7 linked regions of the Macaca fascicularis genome follow. The protein of the gene in region 1 interacts with the protein of each later gene in a biochemical or structural test. Links are inferred from orthologs where the notes say so. Each region holds a gene or a part of one and is shown in the gene's direction. Other genes may lie near its edges.

What was found.
Region 2: of the proteins of UBE2I (region 1) and HNRNPM, one has a biochemical effect on the other in vitro, tested with the Homo sapiens proteins (2 studies listed by BioGRID). The link is inferred for Macaca fascicularis from reciprocal best matches to the Homo sapiens genes UBE2I and HNRNPM.
Region 3: of the proteins of UBE2I (region 1) and NACC1, one has a biochemical effect on the other in vitro, tested with the Homo sapiens proteins (2 studies listed by BioGRID). The link is inferred for Macaca fascicularis from reciprocal best matches to the Homo sapiens genes UBE2I and NACC1.
Region 4: of the proteins of UBE2I (region 1) and ELK1, one has a biochemical effect on the other in vitro, tested with the Homo sapiens proteins (3 studies listed by BioGRID and IntAct, with this or other methods). The link is inferred for Macaca fascicularis from reciprocal best matches to the Homo sapiens genes UBE2I and ELK1.
Region 5: the proteins of UBE2I (region 1) and TOP2B form a complex in vitro, tested with the Homo sapiens proteins (2 studies listed by BioGRID, with this or other methods). The link is inferred for Macaca fascicularis from reciprocal best matches to the Homo sapiens genes UBE2I and TOP2B.
Region 6: of the proteins of UBE2I (region 1) and PML, one has a biochemical effect on the other in vitro, tested with the Homo sapiens proteins (13 studies listed by BioGRID, with this or other methods). The link is inferred for Macaca fascicularis from reciprocal best matches to the Homo sapiens genes UBE2I and PML.
Region 7: of the proteins of UBE2I (region 1) and TDG, one has a biochemical effect on the other in vitro, tested with the Homo sapiens proteins (3 studies listed by BioGRID). The link is inferred for Macaca fascicularis from reciprocal best matches to the Homo sapiens genes UBE2I and TDG.

What each region holds. Positions count from the first base shown.
Region 1 is NC_088394.1:2,065,641-2,069,955, forward strand, and holds part of UBE2I (SUMO-conjugating enzyme UBC9), read left to right. Parts: intron 1-1,076; coding exon 1,077-1,186; intron 1,187-1,342; coding exon 1,343-1,422; intron 1,423-4,315. UniProt on the Homo sapiens protein: Accepts the ubiquitin-like proteins SUMO1, SUMO2, SUMO3, SUMO4 and SUMO1P1/SUMO5 from the UBLE1A-UBLE1B E1 complex and catalyzes their covalent attachment to other proteins with the help of an E3 ligase such as RANBP2, CBX4 and ZNF451.
Region 2 is NC_088393.1:9,162,605-9,166,919, forward strand, and holds part of HNRNPM (heterogeneous nuclear ribonucleoprotein M), read left to right. Parts: intron 1-723; coding exon 724-784; intron 785-3,291; coding exon 3,292-3,393; intron 3,394-4,315. UniProt on the Homo sapiens protein: Pre-mRNA binding protein in vivo, binds avidly to poly(G) and poly(U) RNA homopolymers in vitro. Involved in splicing.
Region 3 is NC_088393.1:13,519,280-13,524,135, forward strand, and holds the start of NACC1 (nucleus accumbens-associated protein 1), read left to right. Parts: upstream 1-1,498; 5' UTR 1,499-1,606; coding exon 1,607-1,636; intron 1,637-1,925; exon of another isoform or gene 1,926-2,122; intron 2,123-2,692; coding exon 2,693-2,711; exon of another isoform or gene 2,712-2,831; intron 2,832-2,963; exon of another isoform or gene 2,964-3,154; intron 3,155-4,856. Other genes in the region: TRMT1 (tRNA (guanine(26)-N(2))-dimethyltransferase), read right to left, coding at 1-166, 326-468, 698-753, 847-1,106. UniProt on the Homo sapiens protein: Functions as a transcriptional repressor. Seems to function as a transcriptional corepressor in neuronal cells through recruitment of HDAC3 and HDAC4. Contributes to tumor progression, and tumor cell proliferation and survival.
Region 4 is NC_088395.1:47,740,819-47,745,133, reverse strand, and holds part of ELK1 (ETS domain-containing protein Elk-1), read left to right. Parts: intron 1-3,520; 5' UTR 3,521-3,554; coding exon 3,555-3,764; intron 3,765-4,315. UniProt on the Homo sapiens protein: Transcription factor that binds to purine-rich DNA sequences. Forms a ternary complex with SRF and the ETS and SRF motifs of the serum response element (SRE) on the promoter region of immediate early genes such as FOS and IER2.
Region 5 is NC_088376.1:22,719,787-22,724,101, forward strand, and holds part of TOP2B (DNA topoisomerase 2-beta), read left to right. Parts: intron 1-28; coding exon 29-186; intron 187-340; coding exon 341-466; intron 467-1,383; coding exon 1,384-1,494; intron 1,495-1,575; coding exon 1,576-1,681; intron 1,682-3,187; coding exon 3,188-3,297; intron 3,298-3,619; coding exon 3,620-3,712; intron 3,713-3,808; coding exon 3,809-3,923; intron 3,924-4,315. UniProt on the Homo sapiens protein: Key decatenating enzyme that alters DNA topology by binding to two double-stranded DNA molecules, generating a double-stranded break in one of the strands, passing the intact strand through the broken strand, and religating the broken strand.
Region 6 is NC_088381.1:50,946,083-50,950,397, forward strand, and holds part of PML (protein PML), read left to right. Parts: intron 1-2,806; coding exon 2,807-3,387; intron 3,388-4,315.
Region 7 is NC_088385.1:110,915,470-110,919,357, forward strand, and holds the end of TDG (G/T mismatch-specific thymine DNA glycosylase), read left to right. Parts: intron 1-1,134; coding exon 1,135-1,277; 3' UTR 1,278-3,055; downstream 3,056-3,888. Other genes in the region: GLT8D2 (glycosyltransferase 8 domain-containing protein 2), read right to left, coding at 3,596-3,765. UniProt on the Homo sapiens protein: DNA glycosylase that plays a key role in active DNA demethylation: specifically recognizes and binds 5-formylcytosine (5fC) and 5-carboxylcytosine (5caC) in the context of CpG sites and mediates their excision through base-excision repair (BER) to install an unmethylated cytosine.

The sequences.
Region 1 (4,315 bases):
AGAGCTCCAAAGCAGTCGCCAGGAAGCAGTCCGGGCTGAAAGGGGCGCTCCATGGTCACCAGGAGACGCAGTGGAGGCCGCTGTGCACCTCACCCAGTGGCTGGAATCCACCAGCGACAGCCCGCGTGAGCAGCCTGGAAGCAGCACGGCTTGAGGACCGATGCCGTGACCCCACATTGCACAGCAATGCACTCACGCCAGTGTTCATACTCAGGATGGCCACGCAGCTGCTGGTGTCGCCTATGGGCTCCTGCAGTGTGGGATGGTCCGCCGTGTGGGATGGTCGCAGCGTGGGGCGGTCTGCGGTGGTGTCCTCACTGCATTCTCCAGGGCGTGTGCCCTGTGCGCTCCGTGGTACCTGAAGTCCAGGAAGCTGCCCCTGGGTGTTGGAGTTGGGATTACGGGGCAGACGCAGTGGTCGGTAGGAGCGAGTGTTCGGGAAGCTGTAGGTGTTCGTGGCGCGTCGGCTTTGAGAGAATTCCTCAGGCTGCGCTGGACTTGCCGCACTGTGTGTCTTCCATAGCATTGAGGGAGAATGCCCGGGAAAAGACGGGAAATAGCCTGGAATATCAACGGTGATGGCCCCGACGGGGCTAATGGTGGCAAACTTCTTTGCTTTTTTGTAAAGAAATAACACAGGGTCCTAAAAGCCCATGTGTCCTGGAAGCAGAGGGTCTGCGTAGGAACTGCCGACTCTGGAAGGGCCTTGGCTATGTCCCTGGACATCTCCCGCAGCTCCTCCTATCTCCCCTGAGTCTGGCCCAGCTGGGAAGGACGTGGGGGCCTGTGTTCCCAGACGGCCTGGCTGTGCCGGGAGTTCTGTCCTGGGAGAGACACGGCTTCGTCTCTGGCCTGCGGCCGTGTCCCCAAGGCTCTGTCCCCTGCGTGCAAAGGTGGACATGTCTTCCTCTTGCCTCCTCGTGGCCACAATGTTATTTTTTTGGAAAGTTCTTGGCCACATAACCTGGCTCCCAACCCAGTGGCCCAGTGTTGGGAGGGGGTGGCGGGGGGGAAGGACATGACTCGGGGACAGTGCCTGCCTGCAAAAAGCGCTTCCTTTCTTCCTCGTTCTCCAGGTAAATTCGAACCACCATTATTTCACCCGAATGTGTACCCCTCGGGGACAGTGTGCCTGTCCATCTTAGAGGAGGACAAGGACTGGAGGCCAGCCATCACAATCAAACAGGTACGGGGCCTCCGCCACCCATATGGGCCGGGCTGCCTCCGTCTCCCCTCTGGACACGCGGGTCTGCAGTCATTCTCAGTGGCTGAGGCCGAGTCTCACCGTGTCCCCCTTTCAGACTGCTCACACCCCTGTCTTGTGTTTTTGTTTCTGGCACAGATCCTATTAGGAATACAGGAACTTCTAAATGAACCAAATATCCAAGATCCAGCTCAAGCAGAGGCCTACACGATTTACTGGTTAGTAGCAGCCCTCGCCCCGCTGCTGGCAGCTCCTCTCCATCCCAGCCAAGGCCGCCTGGCAGGAGGGGAGCGGAGCACACAGGCTCACCCTAGAGACAGCCAGGGTCCGCACCTCCAGGGGAAGGTCGGGGCATAAACCCTGTGGGCAGCAGGCACCGACGCACAGGGTGTGCCGTGGGCGTGGACGGTGCCGGAGCCCTGTCTGGGGGAGGGAGCAGGCCAGGTGACGGGGGCTGTCTTGGGCCCCTACTAGGAGGGGAAGGGCCTGGCCATGGGTGCCGGAGGAGGCCATGCTGAGGGGCTTGTCCACCTGCTCAGCCTCCTGTGGACCCCAGCCTCTTGCACTGCCCCTGCTGCTTATCCCCAGCCCCGCACACTTGGCTCCTCCTGTGGGGGCCCAGCACGGCTCAGTGATGTGATGCTGTCACGTAGGCTCGGCTCCCACCCGGTCCCTGTGAGGTGCTGCTGTGGCTACAAGGGTTCCCGTGGTCCTGGGGTCACTGTCTGCACTGAGGAGGGCCTGGTGTGAGTGAGGATGCAGACGACAGCCAAACAGTGCTGGGGACAGCAGGGAGGACCCTGCCCTGAGCAGACGCCACGCGCCTGCCTGTCCTGTCCCCAGCCCTGGGGGCCGCCTCTGCAGCTGCTCTGGGCAGGTCCATAAGAAGGTGGGTTGGGGGCTCTGACCCCCACTGCTGCACCTGCAGCGTTGAGAAACCCAGTCCCATCTCAGCGTGGGTGCCCACACCTCTGAGGGGGTCTCGGGGGCCCCAGTGGCCGGGGACCCAGGAGACTCACCCTGCAGCCACCCCACACGTGCCTGCCACCATGGGCATCGGAGGCACGCTCCCTCCAGGGGGCATCTCCTGGTCGGGAGTGGGAGGCTGAGGGGTCACCGTTGCCCTAAGCCCAGCCCGCACCGGTTGTGAGGAAAAGCACCTGGTTTGGGCCGGGCGCAGTAGCTCATGCCTGTGATCCCTACGCTTTGGGAGGCCAAGGTGGGCGAATCACGAGGTCAGGAGTTTGAGACCAGCCTGACCAACATAGTGAAACCCCATCCCTACTAAAAATACAAAAAGTTAATTGGGCGTAGTGCTGGGTGCCTGTAATCCCAGCTACTCGGGAGACTGAGGCAGGAGAATGGCTTGAACCCAGGAGGCGGAGGTTGCAGTGAGCGGAGATGGAGCCACGGCACTCCAGCCTGGCAGCAGAGCAGGATGCCATCTCAAAAAACAGAAGGCACCTGGCTTTGGAGAGATGTGTTTCTCCCTGGATGCAGGCCCAGCCCAGGTGTCTGCAGGGTGCCCTCCCTGCTGGCTGAGGGTGGCACAGAGGCCCCAGGCAGGGAGCAAGTGTCACAGCAGCCACCCCAGCCTCAGCCTGGCTCCCCTGCACACCTCACAGACGCTCAGTCGGCCGAGCCATTGCTGGAACTGGCTCGTGGGATGTGGCGTGGCCTGGGTTTGTGTGTTGGCCTGCTGTGCCCTAGGAGTTCCGTGAAATGCATTCCACTGGGCAGGAAGCCACAGTGCTCAGGAGTGTCACGTGGCCCTTGAGGTAGAAAATATTTTCTTTTTTTTTTTGAAACAGAGTCTCACTCTGTCACCCAGGCTGGAGTGCAGTGGTGTGATCTCGGCTCACTGCAACCTCCGCCTCCTGGGTTCAAGTGATTCTCCTGCCTCAGCCTCCAAGTAGCTGGGATTACAGGTGCACACCACCACGCTTGGCTAATTTTTGTATTTTTAATAAAGACACGGTTTCACCATGTTGTCCAGGCTGATCTTGAACTCCTGACCTCAGGTGATCCACCCTCCTTGCCTCCCAAAGTGCCGGGATTACAGGCGTGAGCCACCGCGCCTGGAAAATGTTTTCCAGGCCATGTGTGGTGGCTCACGCCTGTAATCCCGGCACTTTGGGAGGCCAAGGTGGGCTGATTGGTTGAACCCAGGAGTTCACGACCAGATTGGGCAACACAGCAAGACCCCATCTCTACAAAAAATGAAAAATTTGCGCCGGGCGCGGTGGCTCAAGCCTGTAATCCCAGCACTTTGGGAGGCCGAGATGGGTGGATCACGAAGTCAGGAGATCGAGACCATCCTGGCTAACACGGTGAAACCCCGTCTCTACTAAAAATAAAAAAAATTAGCCGGGCGTGGTGGCGGGCACCTGTAGTCCCAGCTACTCGGGAGGCTGAGGCAGGAGAATGGCATAAAACCCGGGAGGCAGAGCTTGCAGTGAGCTGAGATCTGGCCACTGTACTCCAGCCTGGGTGACAGAGTGAGACTCCGTCTGAAAAAAAAAAAATTGCCAGGTGTAGTGGCTCACGCCTGTAATCCCAATGCTTTGCAAGGCCACTGCGGGAGGGCTGCCTGAGCCTGGGAGTTGGAGACGAGCCTGGGCAGCAAGGCAAGACTACCTCTCAAAAAAAAAAAAAAAAAGTTAAGCCAGGCATGGTGGTGCACGCCTGTAGTCCCAGCTATTTGGGAGGCTGAGGTGGGAGGATCGCTTGAGCCCAGGAGGTTGATGCTGCAGTGAGCTGAGATTGCAGCACTGCACTCCAGCCTGGGTGACAAAGCAAGACCCCATCTCAAAAAAAAGAAAGCAGGCCGGGCACGGTGGCTCACGCCTGTAATCCCAGCACTTTGGGAGACTGAGTCGGGCAGATCACGAGGTCAGGAGATCGAGATCATCCTGGTTAACATGGTGAAACCCCGTCTCTAGTGAAAATACAAAAAATTAGCTGGGTATGGTGGTCCCAGTACCTGTATTCCCAGCTACTTGGGAGGCTGAGGCAGGAGAATGACATGAACCCAGGAGGCTGAACTTGTAGTGAGCCAAGATCATGCTGCTGCACTCCAGCCTGGGCGACAGAGCGAGACTCCGTCTCAAA
Region 2 (4,315 bases), on another chromosome or scaffold:
GGCAACTCTTGACTGCATTAGATATTTTTCCTTTTGCACAGTTGACTGTTCATGGCACATACAGGTAGTCACCTGGGTATCCTGGTTGAGCAAGTGATCTGTTTCAAAGAATAGTTATGTATGTGGGGTTCCAGTTTTTCAGAGTATTACAGTATAATGTTTGGTTAGCATCAAGTCTTTTGTGAACATAATTAAGTCATTGATTCAGACAGCTCTTAAAGGTCTGTTGGAGCATTTCAGTCTTAATAAACATTTGCTCTGCCGTGGCTGTGCCAAAGATAATAATTACTACAGGCATGACTGGAACATGCTGGGGGCAATCTAGTCGGGGCTCAAATTCAGGAAAAAGATAAAAGAAACTATAAAGCAATTTTTTCATTACTGTAAATAGAATAGTTAAGTTTTTTGAATAGATGATAGATTCATATGACTCAAAAGTCAAAAAATATGAAAAGATAGCGTGAAGATAGTGTGAGTCCTACTTGGACTTCTTGCCCAGGTCCCCATTATCCCCCACGATAATATCCATATGTCTTTTGATCCTTCACCTTGACATAAAATAGGAAGCACGCTCCACATACCTTTCCACCCTTGCATATTACTCCATGGTGTGGATAATGTGTTTAGCCAGTCCTCTCTTGATGGGGGGCCATTTCAGTCTTCGGCTGTGGCAAACACTGCTGCACTGGATACTGAGATTTATTCGTTTTCTTTCTCTTTCAGGATGAGAGGGCCTTACCAAAAGGAGATTTCTTCCCTCCTGAGCGTCCACAACAACTTCCCCGTAAGTGTTTCAGTGATTAGGGCTGAGAGTTTGAATTTGAGTTATACTAAGAAACAGAAAATTACCATAAAGTTTCACTTGAACCTGTGCCAGGTTAGCCCTCAGTTCTCTTGGCCAATTCTTTTCTATAGATTTTTCAGGGCGAGAAATGAGCAGAGATTCACAGTTTGAGGATATTGTTAGGATTACCTCGTGTTAATCCTAGGATTGTAATACCAAAATGTAGAGGATGTGGTTAGGCATTTTGAAAGTGTCCTGGGGAGGGAAGAATCAGAACCTGTGAAGGGAATAAAAACCAGGCTGCACTCTAATTCAGAAGATATTGGTTAGTCCCATGTGCACTAGCAGTGCACACTAGACATCTACACAGAAATTCGTACACAGTTGTTTGCAGCAGGATGACAGACACATGCTGCGGTGTGGATGAACCTTGATTTCATCTACAGGAAATGCTCCACATAGATAAATGCATAAAGGCAGAAAGTAGATTAGTGGTTGCCTGTGGCCAGGAAGGAGTAAGTGGGGACGGGACTGCTAATAAGGTTGGATTTCTTTTTTGGGTGATGAAAATATTCTGGAATTAAATGGTAGTGATAGTTGCCTATCTCAATATACTAAAAACCACTGAATACTTTGAGTGAGTTTTATGGTATGTGAAGGGTCTTGAACAAATAATTTCTATGCAGAGGGGAAAGGGATCGGCTATTTGTGACACCCAGGTGAAAAATCTGTCTTGTGACAGGGAAGGCTAGTTGATGGGCCACCACGTAGGTAGAAGTGGCAAATATTAGTGCAGAGTCCTACGTAAGCCGGAGACGGGAAGCCAGAACCTGAGTGCAGACAGCAGTGGGACATTTCAGGGAGTCACTGGCACAGGTAAAGCCCTCCTGGAGAAGGAAGATGGGTGAGGGTGAGAGGCCTGTGTGTGCTGTGCTGCGGGGACCTCCACCAGGTGGGTTGAGGGGGCCTGGTCTGGAGCAGCAGCTCAAGCTGAGGGCCCTACTCACTTACTGAGTTGGATGGGAGCCCAGGCCAGAGCACCTTTGCATCGTAGCATTAAGGCAGCATGACAGATGTATCTTGAAGGGAAATCTGTGGCTTCATGAGAAGGCTCATCTGTTGAAAGTCAACATTAGTTAGAGAAGGATCACATTTCCTGGACATAACATACTCATTTCCCAAATAAATTGTCTGTGTGCTCATCTGAGCAGCGGTCACCCTGGACCGTGGTAGTGGCTGTTGTTGACTCTTGTTTTGGATCAGGAGGTGGAGCACACTGCTCCAGGGAGCCATGGCTCTTGGTCTCCCAGCCATTTCAGAGACTTGACTTCAAAGCCTTCAGTGTTTTGAGGAGTAAGTAACCTTGGTGATCTCTTGCTGCTGTTGCTGTGCAGTTAAAGATGGAATGTTAATCAGGTTAAACGCCTGGGAAGTAGTGGCAGGTTTTATTTACTTTTTAAATGAATTTTGTTTTCTTTCTTTCCTTTCTTTCCTTCCTTCCTTCTTTTTCTTTTTCTTTCTTTCTTTTTGATGGAGTTTCACTCTGTCACCCAGGCTGGAGTGCAGTGGCGTGGTCTTGGCTCGCTGCAACCTCCATTTCCTGGGTTCTAGTGATTCTCCTGTCAGCCTCCCGAGTAGCTGCGATTATGGGTGTGCGCCACCATGCCAGGCTAATTTTTGTATTTTTAGTAGAGATGGGGTTTCGCCATGTTGGCCAGGATGGTCTCGAACTCCTGACCTCAGGTGATCCACCTGCCTTGGCCTCCCAAGGTGCTGGGATTTCAGGCGTGAGCCATCGCGGCTGGCCTTGTTATAATTTTTGAAACCTTACCTGGTTGTAGTTTAAGCCTCAGATGGTGGTTACCCCAAATATTGCAAGTGTCAGCTCTTTTGGCTGTTTCCAGAGACCAGCCTGTATTTCTGTGTCCCTGTTTGTGTTGGTAGAGCATGGAGTTGAGTGTGGGCTGGGTATCCAGTTGTGGGTTAGGAAGCTTTGGGGGAAGGAAGATAGGTTATTTGAATACATACATTAGGTTCATTGTTACTAAAACCACCCAGATTCAGAGAGTAGTGTACATCCAGGATGTTGATTGGCTGGTTTGCAACGTGTTTTTTCATGAGAAACGTCCTTTGGGCTACTAGGGATTGGGCACATTTGTGCTGCTTGCCACCTGATGTCTTGAGTCACCTTTTTTGATCAGTTCTCAGTCCATGGGTTAGTGAAACAAATAGGCTCTCAAGAATCTTAGTGTGGGGGTTGTTAACTTTCCCCTGTGTTGGTTTTCAGCCGCCTTTGTTGTATACACACATATCCCAAACGCCAGAACAAGGTTCTGTTTCCAAATGTGCTGATGTTGAATTTTGCATTGGGCCCTGGGGTCACTGGTGGGTGGGGGTGGGTAGGCTGGAGTGGATAGCTGCAACTCACTAAACAAAGACTCTTTTCCTTTGAGGGTCACGGTTTGCTAAATAGGGGAAAACTAAACTTCTTTCTCTTTTCCTTCCAGATGGCCTTGGTGGTATTGGCATGGGGTTAGGACCAGGAGGGCAACCCATTGATGCCAATCACCTGAATAAAGGCATCGGCATGGGAAACATAGGTCCCGCAGGTGAGAATGATAGTGCACCTTGCTTGGGGTTTTGGGGAAGTGAAAATTATTAATTATTGGGGCAACTGGACTTTGAGTAGTTTAAATGGAATAAATAGTTAACTGGGACAAAATTCCCTCCTATTCATCTCTGCCTCATTTTTAATAAAGGCAGTATTTTGTATTTTTATCAAGTTGAATCCTTGTTTAAAGTCATTATACTTTTTCATTGTAACCTCACGACAACCTTCTAAGCTGAAATAGTCGTGCCATTTGATAAGAGGAGGCAAGCCATAGAGTTGCTCTTGCTCAAGGTCACACTGTCAGTTAGTGACAGGCTGCAGGTCTCCTGACCACAAGACCATAGCACTGCTGCAGTACCCTGAAAAGTGTCTTACCAAGACCCCGTGGGCCCTCCTGGTGTTTGCACAGCTGCTGCTAGAGAGCTAGGGGCATTGATAGATGCAAAAAAGGTGGAGAGGCCAGGCGCGCTGGCTCATGCCTGTAATCCCAGCACTTTGGGAGGCCGAGGTAGGCAGATCACAAGGTCAGGATTTGAGACCATCCTGGCCAACATGGTGAAACCCCATCTACTACAAATACAAAAATTAGCTGGGTGTGATGGCATACGCCTGTAATCCCAGCTACTTGAGAGGCTGAGGCAGGAGAATTGCTTGAACCCAGGAGGCGGAGGCTGCAGTGAGCCAAAATCGCGCCACTGCACTCCAGCCTGGGTGACAGAGCGAGACTCCGTCTCAAAGAAAAACGGTGGAGAGGGCCTCACTCTGTGACAATGTGGCCGTCACAGGAAACATGGTGGACAGTGTTGTCTTTAAGAAGACAGGGATCCGCCGGGCGCGGTGGCTCAAGCCTGTAATCCCAGCACTTTGGGAGGCCGAGATGGGTGGATCACGACGTCAGGAGATCGAGACCATCCTGGCTA
Region 3 (4,856 bases), on another chromosome or scaffold:
GTACCAGGTGTGCCACGTCATTGAGCTGGACATTCCGGCGTATGAGATCCACAGCCCGGGCAGAGGTATCGTTTGCAACCACAGATCTGAGCCCAGGCACCTCTAGGGCAAATCTAATGGAACGTAGGCCTGAAGCTGCCAGGCCTTCCAGCACATGCAGGCCTTCCTGTTGGAGTGAGCAGAAAACCTCCCTCACACCTCCATCTCCATCCTCTTCTGGGCCCCAAGGAGCCCCCACCACCCACCTCCTATAGCTCTCCCCCTCCAGGAGCCCTCTGTCTCCCGCTAAATTCCAGGACTGCCAGCTGCTATGCTCAGGCCCCACCTCACAGATTTCCCCCACGGCCGCTGTGCGAGGTTGGTCTCCTGAGGCCAGGTTTTCATTCTCTTTCAGTTCAACCTTTTCCTCCTCTTGCTCTGACAAGTCCACGACCACCTTTTGCGCGTCCTTCTCTCCTGGCACCTTGACTGCAGCCACCCAGAGGCACAAGTCAGAGAGTAACGAAGTCCTCTCTGAGAAACCTCCCCTTAATCTCCAAAATATCTTCCCTGAAATCCCTGGGGAAAGGCTGAAGGAGCAGAACCCAGGGCCTGCTATGTGGCTGAAGCCTCTCTGGATTTGGGCGGCAGAAGGGCCCAGGCAGGGAGATAAGACTTGTGTGACCCCCGCCCGCCAGAAGCCTGGACCTCCACTCACTCTGGATTCCTTTGGCCCCAAGCTGAATGCGAGCAAACTCGGTGATCACAGCACATCTGGTGGGAGACAGAGGACTAGCTCATACCCCGCCCCCGCCATCCACACTGACCCACTAGCCGATGCCAGGCTGACCTCTGACCCCTGCTCACGTCAGGTCCCGATTGAATTCCTGCACCGGGTTATAAAAGACCTCGTTGGCGCTGGGAAAGGCGATTTTGGCAGCCCCCTCGGTGATTGTCGTCTCCTGGACTTCACGTGGGCATTCTTCTCCGCAGGGCCCGGTGCCGTTCTCCATCGCTGCTGGATTCGGCAGCCCTGGGGACTGCCCCTCGAAAAACCGGGCTGTACAGAGCACACGGGTGGGGCGGAGAGTGAGGCTTAGCCACAGAACGATCCTTGCATGAGACATCCGCTGGTGCCTCTGTCCGCCAAGCCTGGTTCGGGGGGCGGGGAAAGGCACAGAGAGGGTCAGAGAGCCGCATTCTGGGCCCGGGGGTGTCCTACATATCTATGAAGTAGAAACTAGGAAGACCTGCGGCCTCGGTAAGCTGATAACCCCTTGTTTTGGGGATGACTGGTTCCTGCGGAGCCGATGCCCTCGTGCAGGCCCGCCCTGAGTCCGAATCCCTTCCCGCACTGCCCAGCCCCTCCTCACCTGGTCTCGTAGCCACAGAAAACCGAATTAGTCAAGGTGCACGTTTCCCAAATTAGGACCTGGGCGCCGCCATGTTGGCACGGTGGGTGGGGGAAATCACATGATAGTGGTTGGCCAATCAATGAGGACGTGGACGGTGGGCGGCCGGGATCAAAATGAATGCCATAAAGGAAGCGCGCTGATCATGCTGTTCCGGGGGTTTTAATCACAGTGGATCCCCTGGGAGAGGACACGTCACTAGTCCCATTTCACAGATGAGGAAGTTGTGGCTCAGAAAAGGGGCGGTAAGCGGAGAAACCCAACAGCTATTGGTCCTCTTCTGTGTTCTGGGTGCTATATACACATTATTTCAGAGCACTCTGCAGGGATAACTCAGGCTCTGGAGTTGGATTTACTGGGTTTGAATCTCAGTCCCACCACATGCTCGGGGCCGGTTACTCTAGGGCCTTCAGTTTTCTTATCTATTAAATAAGAATCGTGGTTTCTCAGATAGAACAAAGATTAAATGACAGATTCCTGGAAAGTGTGTAAAGAGCCACTCTGACCTTGTAAGCGCTCGGTAAAGTTCTAACCAGTGTACGAAGGCAGGACAGCGAAGTGGTTCCCGGGTACCTGGGTTCCAGTCTTAGCTCGCCCTGCGACTTGTTGTTAACTCTGAACTTAAGTTACCGCTTTTGCAAAAGGGCAGAACTTTTTACCATTTGTTAGTGGGTTGTAGTGAGAAGTAAACGAGTTAGTGCACGTAAAATGCTAACAGAACCTAGCATCCGGTAAGCATCATAAAAGTCTTAGCTGTTATTGTCGCTTTTGAGCCTGCGTTTAAATCCTGGCACCCGCCATCACTTCCTTGCTGTGTGATGATCTTGACCAGCTTTCTTTGTGCCTCCTTTTCTGTCTTTCTTTATTTTCTTTTTTTTTTTTTTTTTTTTTTTGAGACGGAGTCTCGCCCTGGATCATGCAGTGGCATGATCTCGGCTCACTGCAACCACCGCCTCCCGGGTGCAAGCGATTCTCCTGCCTCAGTCTCCCGAGTGACTGGGATTACTAGCGCTTGCCATCACGCCCGGCTAATTTTTGTATTTTTAGTAGAGACAGGGTTTCGCCATATTGGCCAGGCTGGTTTTGAACTCCTGACCTCAGGCGATCCACCCACCTCGGTCTCCCAAAGTGCTGGGAGTACAGGCGTGAGCCACCGCGCCCAGCCGCCTTTATTTTCTCTAGTGTGTAACAGTTCCCACTAAAAAATGTTACTGTGTAGTTTAAACGAGCTAATTCCCATAAAGAACCTAACACGGTGCCTGCTGCAATAAACAGCAGTCATTATTGTTTTTGTTTTACAGGAAACTAAAGTTCGGAAAGGTAGAGCGACTTGCCCAAGGTCGCGGGACTAGAAGGTGGCGGGGTCGGGATTCGAACCACCGAGCTGAGCCGACGTACCGGCGAGGATCCTCCCAGGGGCATAGAGAGGAGACGGAGCCGGTTAGATGGGGCGCGCTCGGAGCTCGGCTGGCCTCGCCTGGAGGGCGGGGCCTGAGGGCGGTGCGCGGGCGGGGCCGGTGCCGCTCCTCCCTGGCCTGGCTGCGGCGGCGGCGCGGCTTGCGCTCGCTCGGCGCTCGGCTGGGGCGGCCTGGCCCACAATGAATGGCCGCCGCGGCTGCCGCTGCTGCTGAGGCGGAGGCCGCGGAGGCCGCGGAGGCGGAGGCCGAGGCCCCGGCGCAGGGGGGCGCGCCCCGGGCCCAGGCCCGGCCCCAGCCGCCGCTGCGGAGCCCGCCGGGAGCCCCCGGAGCTCGGCCACGGCGCAGGTGAGGCGGCCCGCCTCAGGCCCGGTTCCGGCCTTCTCCAGCCGGGGCGGCCCGAGGGCTGAGTGGGGAGGGCCTGGGTGCTTTCTCGGACTGAGGAGGAGCCGGGCCCGCAGCCTGCACTGTGCCCGGGCAGGCGTGTGTGTGCAGGCCCGGCTACCGCGGGCAGACTTGAGCGTCCAGCCCGAACCTCGGGGCTTGGGGGCGGCAGGATCGTACCTGGACCGCTCCCCCAGCTCCCAGCGAGGGAGGGGGCCAGGTCGGGCCGGGGCGGGTACCGGGGATCCAGGGAAGTTAGAGGGTCCGAAGCGGAAAAGTGAGGAGGCGCCCGTGGATGCCGGAGGGGGAGGGGGAGGAGGAGTCGGGCTCTGGCCAGGCCGAGTGGGGGAGGAGAGGAGAGCGGCGCGGCCGGAGGGGGGCGGGGAGGGGCCGGGCCTGCAGGTACCGCCTGGGCGCTGGAGGAGGTGGGTGGGTCAAGTTACAGGCCTGGGGGCGGCTGAGGAGAAGCCCAGGAAGTGGGGCACGGTGGGTGTGGGCGGAGTTAGTTCGGGTGGGGGCGGATAGGAGATCCCAGAGATGTTTTCCGGGGGTCACATGAGGTCAGGACTCAGATGTGGGGAGGGGGAGGCTAGATCTGGGGGCGATTAGGTAAGGCGAGGGACTGCTGTAGGAGCTTTGCGAGTCGGGGGAGCAGAGCCTTTGGGCTAGGCTGGGGGGATGTGGGGGCAGGTCAGGAAAAGCTAGTGTGACCAGCAGGTATATACTGAGATGCGCCCCCCATCGACCCCAACTCGAAGTGTTAGTTCAGAGTCACATCTAAGGGGTTCCCTCATTCCCACACCTCATCCCAGAAGCCTCTAGAGTCCTGACCCTACCCCTTGGGCAAGCCTCTGCCAACTGTTCAAAGGCGCTGGCCAGTGGGTGTTTGTGTGGGCAGCTGGAGACAGTCTGGAACACCTAGCTTAGGCATCTTGTTTATCACAAGGTGGCCCTCGCCCACCCCCACCTTATATATCTACAGGGAGGCAGCCCAGCAGACATTACCTGAGTATTTTAGGATCCTGCGTTCTTTCTCTACCTTTTGTGGCCAGAAGCTGGTGGTTCAAGCCTAGTGGATGGGACCTCATAGCCACCGTCATATATATTAGTACCATGGCCTCCCAGGCACCAACTCCTTGAGCCTGAGTTCTGTGTGCCACCTCCCTAGGGGTGAAGAATTAGAGGGAGTGAGCATGTAAAACTCTGCTAATGGTGGTTTGGAGGCTCCCGATGGGGTAAAGGCAGGGCACAGAGAAAAGTTAAGGGGATCAAATCAGGCACTCACACCCTGGCCCAGGGATCTACCTCTGGGACACTAGTCCTGGGCCAGGCCCTGTGCCGAGCTCGCTGGTTGGATGAGCTCATTGATGGCTCACCACCACCGGGTCAACTTAGGCCTTCTCTGTGGTCCAGACAAGGAAGCTGAGGCTCGGGTGGTGTAGCTTGTTTCAGGTCACATGAGCAGACAGTGGCTGAACTGGGATTGTCTGGCCCTCAACACAAATCCATAGTCACTCAAGTGGTCTTCCAGGGGGGTGACTGAAGGAGCTCCTCATTCTGCATTCCCTGGTGGGCATTCTCCTCCATCCAGGCCTTCCCTCCTGCCGACCTCGAGGGATGAGTCAATCCCCTTTGGGACAGACTGAGTTTCCATGGTGTCCCCGGG
Region 4 (4,315 bases), on another chromosome or scaffold:
CCTTCACTTCCTTCAGGTCTCTGCCCGGTTGTCTCCTCGTTGGTGACTACTCTCCCCTGACTCTCCACGTGAAAGGAACAACTCTCCCCTGCTTGATTTCTTCTCCCATAACCCTTCCCACCATTCGACGCACTCTTGTACATGTTTGCCTTGTTTCTCACCTGCCTTGCCTGCTAAGATGTGAGCTCCTCTGGAGCAGGCATTGTTGTCTGTTTCGTTCTCGGCTGCATCCGCAGCACCTGGCCCACTCACCAAAAGCTTGCTAAGTGAAGGAGATGGAAAGAAGTAAACATATCCAAGCAAGGCAGATTGCTAGAACTCTTATGAGGGGTCAAGTGGGAGAAATGACAAAATACAAAGCCGTATGTGCTATTGAAGCTGGAAGCCCACCGTGACCTTTCACTCAGCTGATAGGTGCTGTTGCAGCTGAAAGAGGAACTGGTAAAATTGCCTGTCTTTGCCACCAGGAGTCACTCTGAACTCTTTGGGCTTTTGAAACAAGCCTGCCTGCAAAACAAATTCGGTGAGGTCTCTGGTGACAGGACTCTCTAATCGGACACTTCATGGCTTTGTGACTTGTATAATTGAACAGGAAGCTCATGTTTATTTCCAGTTTGCTCTCAGGAAAGAAAGCAGTAATGGGGTGACAGGGAGGATCCTGTTCTTTGAGGGACATGCTAAGAGGAAGCAGTTGGTGTGAGGGGCCATTTAGTCTAATGGTGAGATGCTTAGCCCACTGGAACCTGACTGCCTGGCTCCACATGCTGGCTCTGCCACTTGTGGACTGTGGAAGGTACGTAGACATTTGTGCCTCCGCTGCCTCATTTATAAATTAATGACAGTAAGACTACCTACTTCTCAGAGGCGTGATAAGGGATAAATGAGTCAATGCCCATTAAAAAAATATAACAGTACAGGTGTACATGCCCTTACCCAAAACCCCTGGTGCCAGATGCGTTTCAGAATTTCAATTTCTTCAGATTTCAGGAAGGTAACATGATGCATATACGATGTTACATAACACCCCTTAGTAAGCTCTGCAGTCGGCTGTGTTCATATTTATGCAGCAAAATGTATGAACACTCTCACACTAAGTGAGAATCAATAAAGACCAGAAAGGGCCTTGTTTCATTTCAAATCAGGTTTTGCTGCCAAAAGAGGTATAAGAAGCTTTCTGCTTTTAGAGCATTTTGGATTTTGGAATAGCAGATAAGGGACTATGAACAAATCAGAAACTAATATTTAGAGCTTATCATATACCTCAGGCATATAATATTTAATCTATACAATATCTTCATGAACTAGGTATTGTTATCCCCATTTTAGCAATGGGCATATCATTATCCCTGTTTTACACATGAGAAAATTGAGGTACAAAGAGGTTAAAGAATATCAGCCAAGCGTGGTGCCTCATGCCTATAATCCTAGCACTTTAGGAGGCCAGGGAGAGAGGATTGCTTGAGCCTGGGAGTTCAAGAACAGCCTGGGCAACGTAGTGAGACCCCATTTCTAAAAAGAAAAGAAAAAGAATATGCACAGGGTCACACAGCTAATAAGTGGCAGAACCAGGATTCAAACACTGGCAGTCTGGCCCTAGTGCCTGGGCAGTTGTCCAGCAGGTCATATTGCCTCTGCTTAGAACAGTGCCTGATGTGTATTAAGCTCTCAGTAGATGTTAATTATTGCTGTCATCGAGAAAGAGAGCATTCAGAGCCGAGCATGGTGTCTCGCACCTGTAATCCCAGCACTTTGGAAGGTCAAGGTGGGAGGTGGGTGGATCACTTGAGGTCAGGAGTTCAAGACCAGCCTGGCCAACATGGTGAAACCATGTCTCTACTAAAAATACAATAATTAGCCGGTCGTGGTGGTGGGTACCTGTAATCCCAGCTATGCGGGAAGCTGAGGCACGAGAATCACTTGAACCTGGGAGGCAGAGGTTGCAGTGAGTCAAGATTGTGCCACTACGCTGCTCTCCAGCCTGGGCGACAGAGAGAGACTCCATCTCAAAAAAAAAAAAAAAAACAAAGAGAACATTCAGGGATAGTAACAGGACAGAGAGATCAGGCGTTCAGTTTTAGGACGGCTTCATAAAGGAAAGGACCTTCAAGGTGGAACTTGAAAGATGAGAAAGACTGCTAGGCAGAAGAAGGAAGCCCCACGTGGAGTGAGCAGCCTTTGCAAGGCTCTGGCAAAAAAACCTGAAAAACTTAACATTTATATGGTAGAATTTATATGGTATGTAGAAGATACAGATAACACTCAAATAAGGGGGATGGAACTAATTTTCTATTCTTGCTGTAATAAATTATCACAAATTTAGCTGCTTAAAATAACATATTTGTGGCTGGGTGCAATGGCTCACGCCTGTAATCCCAGCACTTTGGGAGGCCAAGGCAGGTGGATCACAAGATCGGGAGTTCGAGACCATCCTGCCTAACACGGTGAAACCCCGTCTCTATTAAAAATACAAAAAAAACTAGCCAGGCGTGGTGACGGGCACCTGTAGTCCCAGCTACTCGGGAGGCTGAGGCAGGAGAATGGCGTGAACCCGGGAGGTGGAGCTTGCAGTGAGCCAAAATGGCGCCACTGCACTCCAGCCTGGGTGACAGAGCGAGACTCCGTCTCAAAAAAAAAAAATTTTTTTTTAAAATAATGAGTTATATTTATAGCTGTTATACCTGTTGACCTGAGGAGAATTTTGAGAGTCCACAGAAAAAAAAAAAATTGTTATAGGTCAGAAGTCCCATACTGGTCTCGGTGGGCTGAAATCAAGGTATTGGCAGGGTTGTGTTCCTTCTGGAGGCTCTAGGGGAAAATCCATTTCCTGCTCATTCAAGTTGTTGGCAGAATCCAATTCCTTGAGGTCGTAGGACTGAATTCCCTGTTTCTTTACTGTCTGTCAGCTGATGGCCATTCCCAGCTTTAAGAGGCTACCCACAGTCCTTGGCTCTGAGCCCCCTTCCTCCATCTTCAAAGCCAACAATGGCAGGTTGAGTCCCTCTCACATTTTGAATCTCCCCTGCCTCTTCTGTCATCACATCTCTGAGCTACCTTTCTTTCTTCATCATCTGCTTTTCAGAGCTCATATGATTAGATTGAATTTAATCAAATAATCCAGAAATAATCTCCCTGTCTTAAGGTTTGTAACCTTAATTTCATCTGCAAAGTTCTTTTCTGCTACGTAGTATAAATAACATACAGGTTCCAAGGATTAGGATGTGGAACAGGGGTGGCATCATCTGGCCTACCACAGTCTGCCCTCTGACCGCCACAGATTCACATTTGTCCCACAGGCAAAATACATTCACACCATCCTAAGATACTCATGAGTTGTATCCCATCACAGGGAGCATCCCAAGCTGGATTGGGGAGCTAGAAGTTAGTCTGGGAATGTTTAGGGAATGATGGTAGGGTTTGAGGACAGAGATGGAGAAAAGATGACAAAAAAAGGAATCCTCCTCCCCCTGACCTCTGCCCCTCCTATGTCCACAGCCTCTCAACTCAGCTGTTTGCCCTCCAGGTACCCCTGGGATGGCGTGAGCACTCCCCCAGCGATGGACCCATCTGTGACGCTGTGGCAGTTTCTGCTGCAGCTGCTGAGAGAGCAAGGCAATGGCCACATCATCTCCTGGACTTCACGGGATGGTGGTGAATTCAAGCTGGTGGATGCAGAGGAGGTGGCCCGGCTGTGGGGGCTACGCAAGAACAAGACCAACATGAATTACGACAAGCTCAGCCGGGCCTTGCGGTACTACTATGACAAGGTACAGTCTCTCAGACCAGGGCTGGGACCCCCCCTAACATTTATATCAGAGATTTTATTTTGTTTTGATTGCCATAGCTATGACTTTGAAAACAATGTTAAAATTTATCAGTTTTTAACCCATCCATTGGTACCGTCAGGCCAGTATTGGGCCCCTAAGCACTATCTCACCTACTTTCTTGTCTTACTGCTTTGGCAAAAACCATCATTGCATTATTAATACTGACTCCTACTCCCACTCTGAGATCCCCACAGTGATGCTGCCCTGCCATGCGCATTTCATTTTCGTGTCATATTCCTATAGCCAACATTTTGAAAACATGGTTAATAATGGCTGGTCCTCATTCTGTCCTCTGGAAGCCCTAGACCAGTGCTGGGCTTCCCTAGTTATTTCATAGTCTTCTCTTATTCCAGAATATTTCATATTCCTAGAATCAAAACCTCCCTGACAGTATTATACCAACTTTTGCTTACTTTGTCCTCTGGGACCCCAACATCTTTAACCAATTATTTTCTTATTCCTTAAGCTAAAACCTCTGCAACAACATGTTT
Region 5 (4,315 bases), on another chromosome or scaffold:
ACTATGTATAATTTTAAATTTCTCTCAGGTGGCAAACATTCCCTGGAGTGTACACTGATATTAACAGAGGGAGACTCTGCCAAATCACTGGCTGTGTCTGGATTAGGTGTGATTGGACGAGACAGATACGGAGTTTTTCCACTCAGGGGCAAAATTCTTAACGTACGGGAAGCTTCTCATAAACAGGTATATATGTGTATATATATGTATACACACACGCACACATACACATGACATTTCTAATACTTTACTAAACTTGTGGAATTTTTAAATGTAATTTCTGACTCATTGTATATTTCAACACTTTGAACTACTTTCAATGCTTTTCCGTTTTGAACAGATCATGGAAAATGCTGAAATAAATAATATTATTAAAATAGTTGGTCTACAATATAAGAAAAGTTACGATGATGCAGAATCTCTGAAAACCTTACGCTATGGAAAGATTATGATTATGACCGATCAGGTTGGTTTTAAAGTTACCATATATTTTAAATTCATGTCTTCTTCAGATTCTACTTTTAATATTTGTTTTATGAGACTTGCCCCAAGATAGTATAACTGAAAGTGATTATACATCAGGGGAAAAAATAAAAAAACTTCATCTTTTAGTGGAAACATTTGTATGAAGCACATTTTACATTATCTAATTTTTGGGGTAACAGTCTTATGGGTTAGTTAAAAATATTTTAAAATGCAATATGTGTGAGGAGAACATAATACAGTGTGGTAGTATGGCAGCCTGCCTACAAGCAGGAACAAAATTGTGGAATTAACAAGTAAGAAAGATTCATGATAATGGTTAATATTTATATATGATGGCATGATTTGGAATGCACAAATACCAAGAAGACTTAAATAGTAAAATGACAGTAATCAAGAACTAGAAAATTGAAAAGTAAGGATTTCAGATGCATTCAACTATTTTCTCTTACACACTCTAAAGTATTTGTAGAGAAAATCTGCAACTGAAAAAACTATTAATATGTAGTTTTAAGCAGAAATTTTCCAATTTTTTATCTAAGGAAGACTTGTGAATATCTGTATTACCTGGATTTCCCTACCATTGCCCATTAAGGTGGCATCGTAGCCATGTTTTATTTTATGTATTTTCCATCCTTAAATCATTCTTTTAGTGAAATCTGGGGAAACTATAGAACAGATACAATGATAATATATTTTTATAATGACATTCAGTCTATTACTACTATATTCTTTATTTACATATTAAGAAAAAATTTAGTGTGATCATCTTAATAGCTTTTGTAAAGTGCATTTCTAAAATTCAGAATTTTGTTTTTTTGCATTCACAGGTTTTAAAATTTGTTTAATCATTTTATAAAAGTATTACAGGATTTTTTTACTTTACTAACATTTATTTAGGATCAAGATGGTTCTCACATAAAAGGCCTGCTTATTAATTTCATCCATCACAATTGGCCATCACTTTTGAAGCATGGTTTTCTTGAAGAGTTCATTACTCCTATTGTCAAGGTACTCTTTGCATTAATATATTTTTATATTGTTGTCTTAAAGGGTAGCAGAAAAACTAATTTTTTTTTTAATTAATTCAAGGCAAGCAAAAATAAGCAGGAACTTTCCTTCTACAGTATTCCTGAATTTGATGAGTGGAAAAAACATATAGAAAATCAGAAAGCCTGGAAAATCAAGTACTATAAAGGTTTGTATTTTAAAATACTTAGATTTTAAATATTGATATAAATGTATTCTTATGAAAGCAATCTAAAAGACATCTTGAAAGTTTGACTCTATTTTAGACTTCGAAAATAGCTATCACTGATTTTAAAATATTGTTACAGAAAAATTTATGCAAATAGAATAATGTAATAGATTCCATTGAATGGGATCACCATTCCAATGGCCAGTCTTGTTTCCTGTAAACTTCCTTTATTGCCACTCCATTAGTTTGAAAAAACTTCCAGACATTATAGTCTAGTATTTCACCTATAACTAGTATGTATTTCTAAAAGAATTTCTTTAAGTAACCCATAATACCATTATCATGACCTTCTTTAATATCCTATTGTTGAGACAGGGTCTCGCTTTGTCACCCAGGCTGGAGAGAAGTAGCATGAACACAGCTCACTGCCACCTTGACCTTCCGGGCTCAAGTGATCCTCTTGCCTCAGCCCCCCAAGTAGCTGGGACTACAGGCGTGTGCCACCACACCCAGCTAATTTTTGTATTTTTGTAGAGATGGGGTTTGGTTTGTTGCCCAGGCTGATCTTGAACTCCTGATTTCAAGCCATCCACCCACCTTGGCCTCCCAAAGTGCTGGGATTACAGGTGTGAGCCACCATGCCTGGCTCCCTTTTTTTTTGGATAATGTTAAATACCCAACCAGTGTTAAAATTCCCCTGGACTGTATTAAAAATGTTTATTTTTAGAGTTTTTTATTTTTATTTTATTTTTTTGAGATGGAGTCTTGCTCTGTTGCCCAGGCTGGAGTGCAGTGGTGGGATCTTGGCTTACTGCAACCTCTCCCTCATGGGTTCAAGTGATTCTCATGCTTCAGCCACTCGAGTAGCTGGGATTACAGGCTTGTGCCACCATGCCTGGCTATTTTTAGTAGGGGCAGGGTTTTGCAGTGTCGGCCAGGGTGGTCTAGTCCTGGCCTCAAGTGATCACCCACTTTAGCCTCCCAAAGTGCTGGGATTACAGGCATGAGGCACCGTGCTTAGCCTGAGTTTTTTTTTTTTTCCAAAGTTAGGATCCATATAAGGTCCACACATTGCATTTGATTGATAAGTTTATTAATACAGCATTTCTCTTTTTATATTTTTTCCTTGTAATTTATTTGTTAAGTTGGGTTGTTTGTTCTGTGTAATTTTCCACATTCTGGATTTTGTTAATTATATTCCTCTAGTTACATTTAATATATAGTATTTTCCTGTGCCCTTATTTTCGGTTAACTGATGGTTAAATCACAGGCGTGATCAGATTTGGGTTACAGTTGTTTGGCAAAAACATTTCATAGGTATCGCTGTGTACTTTCATCAGGAAGCATCTAATGTCTACTTTGTCTTTAGTTGCTTATTAAGATTGCAGTTGGTATAGGTGTTGCCAGCGTGATCCATCTGTTACAACTTTTCCACCAACTTTTCACTTGATGGTTTTGAACAGACATTGATATCCATGACTCACTTTTATTTTTAAAATTGTGCAGGATTGGGTACTAGTACAGCTAAAGAAGCAAAGGAATATTTTGCTGATATGGAAAGGCATCGCATCTTGTTTAGATACGCTGGTCCTGAAGATGATGCTGCCATTACCTTGGTAATTAAGTTAATTCTTTAAAAGCTTTTGTTAGCCATCCCCCTACCTTCTGTTCCTTTCCTCCCAGTCCTGGTTCCCTATGAAAAGTCTCTTTTGAATGCTCAAGCTAGTTAATTTTAGTTTTTTCCCCAGATGATGCTGTGCTAGTATAAACTTCTTTAATTGAAAGACCTTAGTTCAAATGTGTTTTTGATAAAAATATTGTAAAATAACCTAATTTTCCAGAAATTAAGAATTAGTTATTGGCCAGTTATAAGTTTTAATTTTGTAATTAAATTTATTTTATTTTTAATGTGCAAAATCATTACCTGGAATCTTTCAGGCATTCAGTAAGAAGAAGATTGATGACAGAAAAGAATGGTTAACAAATTTTATGGAAGACCGGAGACAGCGTAGGCTACATGGCTTACCAGAGGTTAGTCTTAAGAGTGGTGACCTGGGGGAAGAAGGAGAGAGAGACTAGAATTCATGCAGTAATAATGATAATATTGCTATATAACTTTTCTCTTAGCAATTTTTATATGGTACTGCAACAAAGCATTTGACTTATAATGATTTCATCAACAAGGAATTGATTCTCTTCTCAAACTCAGACAATGAAAGATCTATACCATCTCTTGTTGATGGTGAGTAATGTTTATTTAAAAACCTCATTTTTGTATTTTATTTACTATAGTTTAATTTTATGTACTTTAAGCCATCCTTATGATACATATTAAAATTCTTACTTGAAATTTTGTATATGAAGAACTTGTTCAGACGAATTTAAGGCCTTTTTGATTTTGCTTTTGTTACATGTTTTCATAGTGCTGAAATCTTTAATATTCCTTAATTTGAAACTTTTAAACCCTTTCTGAGTTTTTCAGGAAAATTAATTTTAAAAGTCTTAAAGCTTTTGCCCAAGTTGTCTGCAAATTTTCTAAAATACAAAGTAAAATGGAATTTTGATCATTTCTAGAATATTTATCAGAGATTAAATTTTAAAAAACTTTTATTCCGCATTATCCAAAGCCTAAAG
Region 6 (4,315 bases), on another chromosome or scaffold:
GTTTTCCCACCTCAGCCTCCCGAGTAGCTGGGATTACTGGCGCAGGCCACCAAGACTTATTCTGAATATCACTGCCGGTGAGGGTAAATTACAGCAATATTTCTGGGGAAGTAACAGTATTTTCTCTGGTAATATTTGAAGAAGCAGCCTTGTAATGGTTAAGAACATGGACTCTGAGCTGGACTACCTGGGTTTTTATATTTTCTTTTTTTTTTTTTTTTTTTGAGACTGAGTCTCACTCTGTCGCCCAGACTGGAGTGCAGTGGCTGGATCTGAGCTCACTGCAAGCTCCGCCTCCCGGGTTTACGCCATTCTCCTGCCTCAGCCTCCGGAGTAGCTGGGACTACAGGCGCCCGCCACCTCGCCCGACTAGTTTTTTGTATTTTTTTTTTTAAGTAGAGATGTGGTTTCACCGTGTTAGCCTGGTCTCGTTCTCCTGACCTCGTGATCCGCCCGTCTCGGCCTCCCAAAGTCCTGGGATTACAGGCTTGAGCCACCGCGCCCGGCCGGGTTTTTATATTTTGTTTTGCTGCTGTAACAAATTACCACAAATTTAGGGGCTTAAATCAATGTAAATGTATTCTCTCATGGTTCTGGAGGTAAGAAGTCTGAAACAGGTCTCACTGAGGTATATTAAGGTGTCAGCAGGCTTTGCTCCTTTGGGAGGCTCTCAGGCAGAATGTTTTCTTGCCTTTCCCAGCTTCTAGAGGCTGCCCACATTCCTTGGTGCATGCCCCCTTTCTGTCTTCAAAGCAGCAACATCACAACACTCCCACCTCTGCATTCATCACATCTCCCCTTCTGCCTCCCTGCCCTTTCCTTTGTAAGGATTCACGTGATTACATTGAACCCACCCAGATAATCTAGAATGATCTCTTTATCTCAAGGTCCTTAATTGAGTAACACCTGCAAAGACCCTTTTGCCATAGTAAGGTGACATATTCACAGGTCTCAGGAATTTGCACGTGGACATCTTTAGAGGCCACTATTCTGCCTACTAGAGTTTGCATCTAGACTCTACCACTTACTAATCGTGTGAGCTTGAACAAATTATTTCGCCTCTTGCACCAGTTTTCTCATCCTTAAAATGGGGATAATAATGTTATCTATTCCATTGGATTGTCAGGAGGATTGAATGAATTGATATTTGCCAACACTTATAATAGTGTCTGATACACAATAAATGCTATGGAAGTATCTGCTAGCTAAAATATATTAACCAGGCTAGGAGTGGTGGCTCACGCCTGTAATCCCAACACTTTGGGAGGCTGAGGCGGATGGATCACCTGAGGTCGGGAGTTCGAGACCAGCCTGACCAACATGGAGAAACCTTGTCTCTACTAAAAATACAAAATTAGCCGGGGTGGTGGTGCATGCCTGTAATCCCAGCTACTCGGGTGGCTGAGGCAGGAGAATTGCTTGAACCCGGGAGACGGAGGTTGTGGTGAGCCAAGATGGCGCCATTGCACTCCAGCTTGGGCAACAAGAGCGAAACTCCGTCTCAAAAAAAAAAAAAAAAAAAAAAAAATTAACCAAATAAAAACATTAAAATACAAACACTTTGATCTAGCAAGCCTATATTTATAATCTATTTCATAGGAACAAAAGCATCCATGTTTAGGCTATATAACTTGGATATTACTAAAGTGTTGTCCATATTGGCACCAAAAGAAAAAAAGGAAAGGAAAAGAAAGAAAGAAAATACACAAACAGGAAATTACCTGAATGCCAGCAAAATGAGTGATTGAATCAATTGTAGCCCATCTGGGATATACCAGAGCTATTAAAGAGAATACATCTGATCTGTGCCTATGCACCTAGAGGAATGCTCTGAGTGAAAGTTTGTTAAGAGGAGGAAGTTACAAAGTAATTATATGAGTTGATTTCTTTCTTTTTTCTTTTTCTTGTTTTTTTTTTTTTTTTTTTTTGAGGCGGAGTTTCGCTCTTGTTGCCCAGGCTGGAGTGCAATGGCACCATCTCAGCTCACTGCAACCTCCGTCTCCCAGGTTCAAGCAATTCTCCTGCCTCAGCCTCCCAAGTAGCTGGGATTACAGGCATGCGGCACCACACCCGCCTAATTTTGTATTTTTAATAGAGACGGAGTTTCTCTATGTTGGTCAGGCTGGTCTCGAACTCCCAACCTCAGGTGATCCGCCCGCCTCGGCCTCCCAAAGTGCTGGGATTACAGGCGTGAGCCACAGCGCCCGGCCGATTTCTTTCTTTTCTTTCTTTTTCTTTCTTTCTTTTTTTTTTTTTTTTTTTTTTGACAAACGTCAATCCCCAAAATTGTAGATATCCAGGTCAATCATTTAACATGTTCTGTTTCTTCCTCTGGGAAATATGCATAACAATAATTCTCATCCAAGGGGCTCTCGCAAAGGTTAAGTGGCATGGCTGACATGTGTCAAGTCTGTACCATCCTGCAAGCAGCTGCCAGTCTGGCATTTGTGTAAAGCGGTTTCACTGGAGAGAGGTGTGGAAGGGTGCACCCCACAATGCTTACCTGGTGCTTCCTCAGTGAGGAAGGGAAATTCAGAAGTGGTGGAAAGAGATGATTGTCGTTTCGTATATCTTTGTATTGTTTCCCGGATGTTGAAATTGTTACTGTAGTAACTTTTTATACTCGTGTTATTGGTAGTTTGGATACTATCACCATAACCACAAACAATGAATTGGGAAAAGCAGAAACCTAGAAACACGCCATGATTCAAAGTCTGGTAATTTTGGAAAAGGAATTTTATAACGAACGTTTTAAGAGGAAAAAGTCAGGAGAGTCCTAACCCAGGCCAACCTTGTGTGTCCACAGCATCTACTGCCGAGGCTGTTCCAAGCCGCTGTGCTGCTCGTGCGCTCTCCTTGACAGCGGCCACAGTGAGCTCAAGTGCGACATCAGCGCAGAGATCCAGCAGCGACAGGAGGAGCTGGATGCCATGACGCAGGCGCTGCAGGAGCAGGATAGTGCCTTTGGCGCGGTGCACGCGCAGATGCACGCGGCTGTCGGCCAGCTGGGCCGCGCGCGCGCCGAGACCGAGGAGCTGATCCGCGCGCGCGTGCGCGAGGTGGTAGCTCACTTGCAGGCGCAGGAGCGCGAGCTGCTGGAGGCAGTGGACGCACGGTACCAGCGCGACTACAAGGAGATGGCCAGTCGGCTGGGCCGCCTGGACGCTGTGCTGCAGCGCATCCGCACGGGCAGCGCGCTGGTGCAGAGGATGAAGTGCTACGCATCGGACCAGGAGGTGCTGGACATGCACAGTTTCCTGCGCCAGGCGCTCTGCCGCTTGCGCCAGGAGGAACCCCAGAGCCTGCAAGCCGCTGTGCGCACGGACGGTTTTGACGAGTTCAAGGTGCGCCTGCAGGACCTCAGCTCTTGCATCACCCAGGGGACAGGTAAGTACGCAAGCCACCATCCTGGGCGCCCTGTGCCTCTGCTGCACCCTAGGGAAGGCGAGTCAGAAGAGATCGTCTCCATTTGACAGAAAAGGAAACTGGGTTTTTATTCAGTCTTTGGGATTTGGTAAGGTCTTAGGTTCCAGGACACAGGATAAGGGGGAGATAAGGCCCTGACAAAGGGCTGCAGCCACCCAGAGGGGACACGTTTTACTAATTTACAAGACTCTGGATTGACCTAGCGATGACTCATAGGGAACGAAAAACTGCAAAGCTGAGAATCAGACCCAGTATCATTTTGGCGCCAGAGGGACCAACCACTTCAGGAGGTTCTCTTAAGCCACCAGTGTCTCGGAACAGAGAAGTCAATTGGGACCTGGGGTTAGGGTAGAAGGGAGCTAAGAAAACCTCCGGGAGATGATTGGATGCTTACCCAAAACCGTACAGTGGCTCAGTGGAGGAGACCTCTTGTCTCTAGGATGACCTGCTGTCTGACAACCTTTGCACGCCCTGCCTAGTGTTGGGCACTTGAGAGGTAAGGAGACACAGACCAGTTTCTGATCTCAAGGAGCCAGAGCCACATCACATAGCTGGAGAATGAGACAGTGCTCAGCTCTGCAATCCAAATCCGGGAGATGTGGCAGCTGTGTATTAGCTGGAATAAGGGGACTTTCAAAGTAAGGGGTGAGGGGAGTGCACAGGAGGGTCTCCAGGACTCTTTGACTAAATCTCCAAGCTGGAATGTGAGCTCTGAGCAGCTGGTATAGGACGCCCTTACTGGGAAAGGGGAGGGAGGCTACGGAATCTGAAGGCACCTGGGTATGTGCCAGTGACAGAGAGCTTACTTACTTCTCCTGGAGCTGGACATGGATCATAAAGGATAATCTTAGAGGGCCTGGACCTGTGCCTTCTCCACCTAGGCAGTGAG
Region 7 (3,888 bases), on another chromosome or scaffold:
AATATGAAATTTTATTTAGTGACTAATAGTGAAAAATTGATGGTTATTTCACATTGAATTACACAGACTTTTACAGTGCATTTTCTGTTTGTTTGTTTGTTTTTGAGATGGAGTCTCGCTCTGTCACCCAGGCTGGAGTGCAGTGGCGCCATCTCAGCTCACTGCAAACTCCGCCTCCCGGGTTCACACCATTCTCCTGCCTCAACTTCCCGAGTAGCTGGGACTACAGGCGCCCGCCACCACGCCCAGCTAATTTTTGTTCGTATTTTTAGTAGAGACAGGGTTTCACCGTGTTAGCCAGGATGGTCTCGATCTCCTGACCTTGTGATCCGCCCCGCCTCAGCCTCCCAAAGTGCTGGGATTACAGGCGTGAGCCACTGTGCCTTGCCTACAGTGGTGCCTGGCCTACAGTGCGTTTTCTTTAAGTCATGAACTCTCGGCCATCTTAGTTGCATTTTCCTCCTTTAATAACAAATGAGGATTAATAACAAATGAGTCCTGTATCTGAAAAATAGAACAGAAACTTATAATTGTATTCAGGAAGCTTGCTTAACTATTTTAATAATAATTCTCCTTCACTAGACTGTTAAAATCTCCTACTTTGATCATTTAAAACTTCCAGGTCGGGCATGATGGTTCACAGCTGTAATCCCAGCACTTTGAGAGGCTGAGGTGGGTGGATCATTTGAGGTCAGGAGTTCAAGACCAGCCTGGCCAACATGGTGAAACCCCGTCTCTACTAAAATATACAAAAATTAGCTGGGCATGGTGGCAGGCACCTGTAATCCTAGCTACTTGGGAGGCTGAAGCAAGAGAATCACTCGAACCCGGGAAGCAGAGGCTGTAGTGAGCCAAAATCACCACACTGCACTCCAGCCTGGGTGACAGAGTGAGACACCGTCTCAAAAAGAAAAAAAACTTCCAAAGAAGCTGATGTGGTGGCTCACCCCTGTAATCCCAGTGCTTTGAGAGGCTAAGATGGGAGGATCACTCAAGCCCAGGAGTTTGAGGCTGCAAAGAGCTGTCATCGTGCCACTACATTCCAACCTGGGGGCGACAGAGTGAGACCCAGTCTCTATTTTAAAAAAAGCAAAAATTTCTAAATGGCATAAACTAACTTTGTCTTTCTGGCAGTTGACAGTGTGGAGTTAAGAGGAGAATCAACTTTCAGTGGCATTCCTAATGGGCAGTGGATGACCCAGTCATTTACAGACCAGATTCCTTCCTTTAATAATCACTGTGGAACACAAGAACAGGAAGAAGAAAGTCATGCTTAAGAATGGTGCTTCTCAGCTCTGCTTAAATGCTGCAGTTTTAATGCAGTTGTCAACAAGTAGAACCTCAGTTTGCTAACTGAACTGTTTTATTAGTATTTTACTCTAGTGGTGTAATTGTAATGTAGAACAGTTGTGTGGTAGTATGAACCTTATGAACCTAAGTAGTTTGGAAGAAAAAGTAGGGTTTTTGTATACTAGCTTTTGTATTTGAATTAATCATCATTCCAGCTTTTTATATACTATATTTCATTTATGAAGAAATTGATTTTCTTTTGGGAGCCACTTTTGATCTGTAATTTTAAAATACAAGTCTGAATATTTATAGTTGATTCTTAACTGTGCATAAACCTAGATATACCATCATCCCTTTTATACCTAAGCAGGGCATGCTAATAATAATTACCACTGTCAAAGAGGCAAATGTGTTGATTTTTGTATATGAAGTTAAGCCTCAGTGGAGTCTCATTCGTTAGTTTTTAGTGGTAACTAAGGGTAAACTCAGGGTTCCCTGAGTTATATGCACACTCAGACCTCTTTGCTTTACCAGTGGTGTTTGTGAGTTGCTCGGTAGTAAAAACTGTACCTTACCTGACAGAGCCCTGGCTTTGACCTGCTCAGCCCTGTGTGTTAATCCTCTAGTAGCCAGTAACTACTCTGGGGTGGCAGGTTCCAGAGAATGCAGTAGACCTTTTGCCACTCGTCTATGTTTTACTTGAGACACATAAATATGATAGGGAAGGAACTGTATTTCTCCATTCATATTTATCACCATTCTAGTTTTATCTTCCTTGGCTTTAAGAATGTGCCATGGAAAGTGATAAAAAATGAACTTTTAGGCTAAGCAAAAAGATGCTGGAAATACTTCATAATCTCACTTAAACTGGTGCTTTATGTACATGAGATGTACTAAAATAAGTAATATAGAATTTTTCTTGCTAGGTAAATCCAGTAAGCCAATAATTTTAAAGATTCTTTATCTGCATCGTTGCTGTTTGTTACTATGAATTAAATGAACCTCATGGAAAGGTTGAAGTATATACTTTTGTGATTTTCTAATGAGTTTTCCATGGTGCTACAAATAATCCAGACTACTAGGTCTGGTAGATACTAAAGCTGGGTACTAAGAAATGCCATTTGCATCCTCTCAGTCACTCCTGAATATTCTGATTTCATACATACCCAGGGAGCATGCTGTTTTGTCAATCAATATAAAATATTTAGGAGGTCTCCCCCACCCCCAGGAGGTTATATGATTGCTCTTCTCTATGAGAGAAACAAATTCTTGTTAATCTTAACATGCTTTTTAGCTGTGGCTGTGATGGATTTTATTTTTCCTTAAGTCTAGGTCAAGCTGTGTAAAAGTCATTTATGTTATTTAAATGATATACTGTACTGCTGTTTACATGGACGTTTTGTGCGGGTGCTTTGAAGTGCCTTGCATCAGGGATTAGGAGCAATTAAATTATTTTTTCACGGGACTGTGTAAAGCATGTAACTAGGTATTGCTTTGGTATATAACTATTGTAGCTTTACAATAGATTGTTTTATTTGAATGGGGAAAATACCATTTAAATTATGACAGACATCCACTAGAGATGGGTTTGAGGATTTTCCAAGCATATAATAATGATGTTTTCCTAACATGACAGATGAGTAGTAAATGTTGATATATCCTGTACATGACAGTATGAGACTTTTTCATTAAATAATATTGAAAGATTTTAAAATTCATTTGAAAGTCTGATGGCTTTTATAATAAAATATATTAAGAATTGTTATCCTTAAGTTATGGGCTTTTTCTGTAGCAAAACTGAGTGGTATTCTTTCCCCTTTAAACCTGAGGTCAGTTTACCTTCTATTATATTTAACATGTAGAATAATAACATGATAAAAGTCATAAAAATGATGAATATTTTATTTTTCAGACATCCATATTTTAAATGCAATAGTTTTATAAAAGAAAAGATTGGCAACCTGTTAAAAAGATCTACATGTGAAAAATACATTTAGAAGTTTTAAAAATTTGTGGATATAATTGTTATTCAGAATTAAGCAGATTGATTACTGGTATCTAGATGGGTCTGTTCCTTTATGTTTTTCAGTCACATAATCTCAATTTCCATAGTTAACACATGTACTTAAAGAAGTCAGTCAATGCCTATATGGTCCAAGGTATAATTTGCACACAGTAGTTTTTGGTTTTTATATTGTGGCTCATCTGTATCAAAGGTAATGTTCATAAAGAACAATGTTATAGTTGGCTACAAAGAGACAATTCCACATTTCTAGACAGGGAATATTTTAAGGGTAGAGTTATATCAGCTATGGTGATTGAGTTTAAATATCCCTGCAGGGTCAGGAACAAACCAGCTTTCCCATAAGTCGTTGTGAACACTAGGGAAGTCCCAAGGTTTATGTCTTCCATTCCAGTGGAGTAATTTAGCTTCCTGCAGAAAATGCTCCGAATATCTGGCATCTGGATTCCAGCCTTCATTGTGTTTAAAGAAAAAATAATAGGCTTGTTAGAGGATAACATTTTTGTATTATAAATTGAATACAAGTTCATAGTTTAAAAAAAGGTAAACAAAAGGGTTATACAGTGAATTTTCTA